Chlamydomonas reinhardtii: one gene and its partner. Each later gene encodes a partner of the first gene's protein in a complex. Links are inferred from orthologs where the notes say so. Each region holds a gene or a part of one and is shown on either strand. Other genes may lie near its edges. The genes, in order: CHLRE_06g255450v5 and CHLRE_10g465900v5.

Region 1 (4,330 bases):
CCAATGTGCGCATGACTGTTGGGTTGTTGGGAAGTTGGGTCACGCGCATGTAATGGAAATGCATGAGGCATGGAAAGCATTTTTAGTCTCTGAGCATGTCACAAAGGGGTCTCGCCGCTTCGCTGCAGGTGCTGGACGCGCTGCGCATCAAGGCCTTCGACATGGCCAACATCATCGGCACCTTCGTCAAGAGCATCGCCACGCTGCCGCGTGAGCTCAAGCGCCACTTGTTTCTGATCGAGGAGAAGATCCTGGAGTGTCTGGCTTGGGAGCCGGGCTCGTCACTCTACCACCTGATCGTCAACGTGCACACCGAGAACGAGGCAGCGGCCGCCGCAGCAGCTGCGGCCATGCAGGAGGCGGCGGCCACCGCAGCCTGCTCGGCGGCATCAGGCGACGACTCGCAGCACGACGGTGCAGGCAGCCGGGCGGGCCTGTCATCCTCCTCGGGCGGTGCGGGCGCGGCGGCTGCGGCGGAGGGCGGCGCGGATGGCGGCACGGAGCAGCCAGGTGCCTCATCATCCCACAATACGGAGCAGTCGGGAGGCGCCCCGCCCATGGAGACGGCAGAGGGGGGTGCGCCGGGCGCGGCGACTTCGGCGCCACCGTCGACGACCCCTGCGGCCCCAGCTGAGCCTGCACCACCGGCTGCTGCCAGTCCCGCGGCGCCGGCGGCCAGCCATGCGCCGCCGCCATCGCCAAAGCGCAGCCAGGGCGTGGCGTTCTCGGGCATGATGTCGCCGGCCAAGAAGGGTGAGTGACTGACTTATGGAGCGCATCCAATGCTTGTAGCAGTATCATCAGGAGACGTTGTGTGCGTCCGGCATCCGTGTCACGTCCATGCCACTTAGCGATCACGCCCTAACTTTGCCTGTTTGTCTTCCGTACAGCCCGTGGCACGGACGGCGGCGCTCACTCGACACAGTCTTACATCGAGTCGCTGCCCAACGCGGTGGGCTTCCCTCCTGCCGCCGGCGCGGCGCAGGGCCAGGCGGGGCTGCTCTTTGAGTTCCTGCGCAAGGTGCTGAAGCTCACGTCGTTCCGCCTGGCGCTGCTGTGCGAGAACTTCGATTTCAGCCCGCTAGAGGGGCCCGAGGTCAACAGCAAGGTGGGTGACTACGGGGGCTCTGAATATTGCCGGATTGGAGTATGGGCGGGCCGCGTTGTTGAAGTGGTGGCGTCGTCCCGCGCACTGGCGAGCTATTCGACTCAATTTCTTCCCTTGGCGTCTTCCGTAGGTGTACGAGGCCATTGAGCATGCGCTGTACAAGCAGACGCACCTGTTCTACAACCGCCACATCGACCAGATCATGCTGTCGACACTGTACGGCTACTGCAAGGTGCACAAGCTGTCGCAGGTCTCCTTCCGCGAGATCATCGCGCAGTACCGCAAGCAGCCGCAGGCGCAGCAGTCGATCTTCCGCTCGGTCGTCATCGACCAGGTGCTGCCAACGCTGCAGATCCAGTCGCGCGCCGACATCATCGGCTTCTACAACGCGGTGTTTGTGCCCGCGATGAGAAACTTCCTGCTCAAGAGCGAATCCAACGGCTCGGGCGCCAGCGGACCCGGTTTGGGCGGCGACAGCAAGCACGCCGCTGCGGGCAACAGCGGCAATGCCGTTGGCGCGGCAGCCGGCGCCGCGCCCGCTCAGGGCGTCGGCGCCACCTCCGCCATGCCGCCGGGCCTGCCGCCCTTGCCACCCCGCGCGAGCCAGTCGCCGCGGGGCCCCAAGCTGCCGTTGCTGGGTGCAATTGCGGCGGCGCCGCGCATGCTTGGCCGCTCTGCCAGCGGCAACGCGCGTGGCGGCGGCGAGCGTGAGCTGGGCATGCCGCTGCTGCACCCGCTTCTCCCCACCGGCAGCAGCACCGGCGGCGGCGCGCTTTCACCCACCAAGGGCAGCGAGGGAAGCGGCCACCCCACGCCGACGGGGCCCGTGCCGGTCTCCCGCTCCAGCAACGGCGGTCGTGGTGGCAGTGGCGGCCGCGGCGGTGGCCGTGGCAGTGCTGAGCATAAGATTCCAGAGGGCCTGGCCGCACTGCTGCAGGCGTTGGACAGCCAGAAGGCCGCCGAGGAGAACGGCGCCGAGGAGGAGGAAGAGGAAGAGGAGGTCGATGCCGATGAGGAGCAGCCGCAGGCGCGCGTCACGCGATCGGGTCGCACGGCGCGGGACCGTAGCACGGGTCGGGAGCGCCGCGGCCGGCACACGGAGGCGCGCGACGACATGGACGAGGCCTCCATGGACGCGGAGTTCTCGCAGCAGACCGTTGTCACCGGCCGCCGGCAGCGCACGCCGAACCGGCGGTACGGGGCGGATTGAGCACCGCGGCCGGAGGTGTAAGGTGTTGAGCCCATCATTCTGGGAATGCTGAAAGCAAGGAATTGGCATTGAAGATATAGTTTTGGATTCGTGCATGTTTCTTTCAGGTCTTCTTCAATTCAAGGCCACCGGATCTTCACTCTCCTAGCCCGCCGGCATGGTGGCCGGTTGCAAAGATTAGAGGCATGCGTTGGGATTGAGTCCGCCTGACGCATTGTTTGCGCATTCATTTGGATACCCTAAAATGACTACGCACACCCCACTGTCAAACAGAGATTGAGAACGCATGATGGGAGGGAATCGCAGACCACCATTGCATTGTGCCCACGGCTTGGGCCCCACTGCCGCCGTGTGTGCTCAGACCCGTGACCAGCGAACCTGTTGCACAGCGTGGGCATGGAGGGGGCAACAGTACTCGACGGAACTGAAATGGCGTTTCCACCAAGCTTATGCATGCGAGGGGACCGCCACATATCTGGCTTCCCCCAATAGTGTAGGCCGGCTTGGTGTGACGCTGTTGTCGGATGTGGGTTGCAAGTACGTATCCCGATGCGCGGAGCGTGTATCACCTAAAAGATGTTACGCATTGCAGATGTGCCGGTGTAAAGACGGTGTGACGCGGATGGCGGAGGGCCGAATCGGTAGTACTTAGTAGCGCCGGTGTACCTACGAATGCTATCATCATTAATTAGTTTGACTCGCGAGATATCCGGTCATCCAAAATGCAGAATGGTCTTGTTCGATCAGTGAGCGGTGGATGAGCCCACACGTAAGCGGGCTATTGGATGATTTGCTCTCGGTTACACTGATGCGATGTCTCTCCCGTTGGTTGCACTTGGGAGCAGGTCCATGCGTGTGCAGTACACGCTTGGCTTGAACTTATACCAATGGAATGGACATGTCCCAATGCGGAATGGACACCGCGCGTCTGATACCGTACAGCACTGTCAGGCAGCAGCTTAAGGATGCCGCACAGTCTGGCTTCCTTCCTACACTTCAACAATGACTACAGACCCACGAACCTACATGGTGTGCTCCAGCTGGGCCGAAACCTACGCCTTCAGTAGAAGCGCTATTACGGTATGTCTGGAGCAGCAATCATGTAACGTCCCAACAAATCCTCGAGCATCGTGTGCAAGGAAATCCAGGAAGATCTAAAGCACCACTGATCTCAAGAGCGCCTGTCTCTCGACATACAGCAGTCACACTAAATGCTCCCTACGAAGGCTGGTTCGGACGAGACCAACGCCTTACCTGCCTAGCAGCAACGCCCCATCCCCTGGTATCTGCAACCCCCCGATCCAACCCGCCTTCCCACCTGACACAACACGTCCGCAACTCCGCATCCGCCTTCACCGCCCCACCGCTACACAACATGAGCCGCAATGGTGGGAGGTTGGCCGCAACCGCTCCAAGGCCGCTTCAAAGCCCCCCGGCTCGTGCCTCCGCCGCCCTAGGGTGCCTCATCGCGCCTGCACGCGCGCCGCGAACTCCGCAACCAGGTCCACAAACAGCCCCGGCATCTCCTCCTGCGGCATGTGCCCGCACCGGTCCAGCAGCACCAGCTCGCAGCAGTCGGGCGGCAGCATGCGCGCCAGGCGCTGGCTGTTGGAGGCGGGCACCAGCTTGTCGTACAGCCCGTGCACCAGCAGCACAGGCAGCCGGCGCGCCGCCACCAGCGCCGCCAGCCGACTGGCCAGGTCAGTGTCCTCCTCGGGCGCGTCGTTTGTGGCCGAGGCCGCCGTGGCTGCTGCTGCGGGGGCTGAGGAGCTCGCAGCGGGGGCGACGGTGGGAGACTGGGGCATGGAGGCTGCGGCGCGGGAGAGGCGGGAGGACTCCGAGTCGGCCACGGCGGCAGATGCGGCCAGGCCTGCGCCGGCGGCCGCAGCCGCAGCGGCGCCCATGCCAGTGGCCGCAGCTGCGGCGGCAGTGGCAGCGGCGCCGGTGATGCTGGTGCCGGTGCTGGTGCCGATGTCACCCTCGCTGTCGCCCGCTGGCTGGGCATCGCGCAG
Region 2 (4,553 bases), on another chromosome or scaffold:
AGGGACAGGGAGCGGGAGCGGCCGGAGTATGACCGCCGGGACCGGGGCGACCGCCGCGGCGGCGGCGTCGAGCGGTACCCGGACCGGGACCGGGAGCGGGACTACCATGACCGCAGCGACCGGCGAGGCGGCTCAGAGCGGGACCGCGGAGAGCGGGACCGCGGAGACCGGGACCGTGAGGTGAGTGCGGCCACCGTGTGCTGGGGTTATGCTGGGATTGGGCGGGGCAAGTGAGACCGAGCGGCTGGAGGAAGGACCGCCAGCGTCTGCCCGTGTGTGTGCGGACTGGAAAACCGGGGAAGCCGCGAGGGAGGACGACCAGTTGCCACCCGGAGCATTGAAGTCGCCACGCACTTGTGCCCGAACCCTCGCAGCGCCGTGACCGCGACCGCTCACGTTCTCGCTCGCGCGACCGGCGTGACCGTGACCGTCGCGATCGGGACCGGGACCGCGGCGATGACAAGAGCCGGCACAGCAGCAAGAGCCGCGGGCGGGGCGGGTCGAGCGGTGGCATGGAGGACGGCGAGGAGCCGCGGCGGCAGGAGGAGCAGGCGCCTGCTGTGGCACTGGATGCGGACATTTCACCCGAGGAGATTGCCATGATGCAGGTGTGGAGGTTACGGCGGGCGTGGTGGGGTTGCGGCCGTGGTTGCTAGTGACAGCGCGCGGTAAACGGAACGGGGCGTAAGTGCTGGGGACGGGGAAGTGGGTGCGCGGGGGCTGGCATGGGTAAACGAGTCGCATACCGGTACCGTACATTGGTCACGCCAGCTGCGACTAGCGTCCACCCCGCACAGCGACTTCCACCACACGCCGCCCATCCTCCCGTCACCCGCTTCGCCCCTGATCCACCACAGGCGATGGGCATTCCCTTTGCCTTCGACACCACCGCCGGCAAGGAGGTGGAGGACGAGGCCGCCAAGCTGAGCGGCACCCGCACCAAGTCCCTGCGCACCGCCCGCCAGTACATGAACCGCAAGGGTGGCTTCAACCGCCCGCTGCCCGCGGAGAAGAGCCACGAGAAGTACCGCCCCGACTAGAGAAGCCAAAATCAAGGCCCGGCAGGCGGCGGGGGCGGTGGTGCTTGCTAGGGTTGCTTGGTTGGGTGGCCTGGAGAAGGGCAGCTGCGTGGGACCGGCGGCGCGGAGTAGGTGGCATGTCCGCGGTGCTGACGCTGTGAGCCATTTGCTCAGACTACTGAGTGAGGCAATGGTGACCTTAGTAGCCACAACGAGACGAAGCCGCGGGTATGCTGGCGGCCTTGACAGATGATTCCTGTGGGGTCTATCAGGCTGTCAAAGTTTGGGGACAGCAAATGACCGGAGTGGTACCCGCGTGGGGGAACCCAGCCTTGACCGGTCCTGAGTAGCTGCTGTAGGTGCTGCTACAGCTCCCGCATTCGTTCCAGCACCTCAAGCAGTGTTGGAACTAGTCAACATGCACGTAAGTCATCTACGTGAGGTGATTCGAGGGGCTAGACCAGCAGGCGTCACGGGCGGACGACGAGGAGAGGGTGCGGCCGAGAAGAGGAAACGAGCGGGCAAGTTTTGAGTTTGTGTACTGGCACGGCCAGTGCAAAGCTTTCAACGCTGAAACTTGCTGTTTGCTTTATGATAGTCGAGCCTGGACTGGCATGGTTATGGGTAAGGTGGGAAACAAAAATCAGTTCACGATTGAAATGGCGCGAAGTCGTCCAGGTACCCGCACAGCGATCCTTGCACATAAAGCGTCACCCATAACGCGTGTTTAGCAGAAAACAACACCTTAACCTCGATCCTCTGCATGCCAAGCCCCTGAAACTGGCCAGTAACCTGGAGAGCACCCTGCTAGAAGTCGAGTGAGGGTCGGAGGCGCAGCAAGACTGGCCGCAGTTGCTCGCGGGCCACTTGGCCCGCCTGCAGGTGGCGCTGGGGGCCTAATCATGGACAAGGTGCGGCACGCTCTCTTGAATGCGGAATCGGCAGCTCTTCCTCCTTCAGGCTTCCAGGGGAGTTCGCGGCTGCTGTTACTCGCTTACATGCTTGCCTTGAAATGTGCGCAGTATGAGAAGCTCGAGCGGGCTGGAGAGGGCACTTATGGTGTCGTCTTCAAAGCTCGCGACCGATACACCAACGAAATTGTAGCGCTGAAGAAAATTAGGCTGGAGCAGGAGGATGAGGGCGTGCCTAGCACAGCCATTCGGGAAATTTCGTTCCTTAAAGAGCTGCGCCACGACAATGTTGTCCGGTGAGCAGTCTTCGCACGACACTCTGCGCTGGTGACGTGTGGGCAGTCATAAGAGGACTCGAGCCCGACGATATCGCCCCCTACAGGCTCTACGACGTGCTCTACAGCGACCGCCGATTGTACTTGGTGTTCGAATTCCTGGACCTGGACCTTAAAAAGCAGATGGACCAGACGCCGAACTTCAGCCGGAATCAGCGCGTCATCAAGGTGTGCTAGCGGGAAAACAAGCGGGGGCAGGTGGCGGCAAAAGGGCGTCGGGTGAAGCGCCGCAGGTGGGAGCTGGGTGCGTGCTGGGTGGGAAGAGTGCGACATGGGGTTTCGCCGTCGGTAATCTTGGATAAATCTGGATCGTGACCAGAACCTTGCGCGCTCGTGCAGATGTACATGTGGCAGATGCTGAGCGGTATCGCCTTCTGCCACTCGCGGCGGTGAGTGGCAACTGGCAGGCACGTGAGGGATATCACACATGAACAGGTGGAGGCACCTCATGACTGTACCCACCTGCGTCGCCATCAACTAGCACTAGCTGATCATGCAACACGTCCCATCGTTGCCCTGCCACATGCTACAATGCCCTGCGCAGTATCCTGCACCGCGATCTGAAGCCGCAGAACCTGCTCATCGACCGCTCGCGCAACACGCTCAAGCTGGCGGACTTCGGGCTGGCGCGCGCGTTCGGGATTCCCGTGCGCGCTTACACGCACGAGGTGGGAAGGGCAGGGTCTATCTTCACCATTTTTAGTAAGAAACCAAAGACACCAAGCCGCAGGACAATACAGGGCGGCGTGACGGGGGCATGGGAGATGGCGGGGCGGCTTGACGGGGAGGTGGCAGCGCAGCGTGACGGGGGTTGGGACATGTCAGGACAGCGTAATGATTGGACAGGAGATGGCAGGCCGGCTGGCCGAGCTTGGTCTAGTATGCGGTATCAGAGGTTGAGGCGGGAAGGGCCGCACGCGCCTTGGGTGCAAGGTGCGGATGCAGGGTTGGGCACTGGAGTGTGTGCGCTTTCTGGATGCAATCGCCCACCCAGCAACTGCTGCTGCTAGGGCACCAGCACTCGCAGGCTGCCAAGTGCGCAGCGACGCTTCGGTTTATGTGCGCATCGCACTGGCGCCGTCCGATGCCCGATGCCGAACTCTGCCTTGGTGCTGCTGACGCGCTCGCCCCCGCACCCCCATCACAGGTAGTGACACTGTGGTACCGCGCACCCGAGATCCTGCTGGGCAGCAAGACCTACTCCACCCCCGTGGACATCTGGTCCATCGGCTGCATCTTTGCCGAGATGGTCAACCACCGCCCGCTGTTCCCGGGCGACTCGGTGCGTGCGGGCTGACTGGCATGTTGGCTGGAGCGCAAAACCTCACGATGGGGGAGCCGCAGTCACGGCTGCTCTCTGTAGGCTAGGACCACATGTGATGCGATGGGTGTGTTTTGCAACGGCGCGCCTCGGCTTCACCGCGCACTCCATAACTCCACACATCCCCGCCTGGCTGCCTCCCTCCCCCAGGAAATTGACCAGCTGCACAAGATTTTCCAGCTGCTGGGCACTCCTGATGAGGCCATGTGGGCGGGCTGCAGCGCGCTGCCCGACTTCAAGGACACCTTCCCCAAGTGGCGCCCCCAGAACCTGGGGGCAGCGGTCCCAACCCTAAGCCCCGAGGGCGTGGACTTGCTGGCGCGCATGCTGGTGTACACGCCACAGCACCGGTGAGGAGGAATGTGGGCCGGGGTTAGCCATACCGCACGTATATGGAAAAGTGTGGGGCGTGTCCCACGGGCGTGTCTCAAAGAGCATGCCGGTATGGTTGCGTGTGCAGGTTGATGTGCAGTGTGCGTGCTTGACGTCACCCATGCCGTTGGATTTGCTCTCAAAACTGCCTCACCAACGGAATGGCTCAGCACCTCCTCCCACCCATCACCGCTACCCCGCAGCATCACGGCCAGCGCGGCCATGGAGCACGCCTACTTCAACGAGATCCGCGACACCATGCGGGCCGCAGTGGCGCCGGGCGGGGGCGGCATGGGAGGTGGCATGGGCGGCATGGGGGCGATGGGAGGGATGGGCGGCGGAATGGGCGTGATGCGCTGATGAGCAGCAGCACCGGTGCCGGCGTGCAGCGACAGGTGGTTTCATGTGGTGGAGAACCGTGCCATATTGGCTGAAAGTGCCGGTGTGAGCGCGGGCAGGCTGGACATAGGTTTGCTGGCGCAAGCGTGGTCTCAGGGGCGTATTGTTTGCTGCAAGGAGATATACGGATACGGCGGCGTGCAAATGGACTTTCTATGCGGTGACTAGGCATTTATTCTTCACGGCAGGTGGGGCT

What was found.
Region 2: CHLRE_06g255450v5 (region 1) and CHLRE_10g465900v5 share a complex: the UniProt entries of both Arabidopsis thaliana proteins name them as parts of the DREAM-like complex. The link is inferred for Chlamydomonas reinhardtii from reciprocal best matches to the Arabidopsis thaliana genes RBR1 and CDC2.

Annotation. Positions count from the first base shown.
Region 1 is NC_057009.1:939,848-944,177, forward strand, and holds the end of CHLRE_06g255450v5 (uncharacterized protein), read left to right. Parts: coding exon 1-5; intron 6-128; coding exon 129-753; intron 754-890; coding exon 891-1,108; intron 1,109-1,238; coding exon 1,239-2,318; 3' UTR 2,319-3,627; downstream 3,628-4,330. Other genes in the region: CHLRE_06g255500v5 (uncharacterized protein), read right to left, coding at 3,782-4,330. UniProt on the Arabidopsis thaliana protein: Key regulator of entry into cell division. Acts as a transcription repressor of E2F target genes, whose activity is required for progress from the G1 to the S phase of the cell cycle.
Region 2 is NC_057013.1:6,430,075-6,434,627, reverse strand, and holds the start of CHLRE_10g465900v5 (uncharacterized protein), read left to right. Parts: upstream 1-1,665; 5' UTR 1,666-1,921; coding exon 1,922-1,930; intron 1,931-2,041; coding exon 2,042-2,226; intron 2,227-2,312; coding exon 2,313-2,433; intron 2,434-2,604; coding exon 2,605-2,654; intron 2,655-2,809; coding exon 2,810-2,933; intron 2,934-3,412; coding exon 3,413-3,547; intron 3,548-3,736; coding exon 3,737-3,936; intron 3,937-4,161; coding exon 4,162-4,318; 3' UTR 4,319-4,553. Other genes in the region: CHLRE_10g465950v5 (uncharacterized protein), read left to right, coding at 1-180, 375-608, 858-1,040. UniProt on the Arabidopsis thaliana protein: Involved in the control of the cell cycle. Essential for both G1/S and G2/M (mitosis) phase transitions. Functions in cell morphogenesis as well as cell proliferation.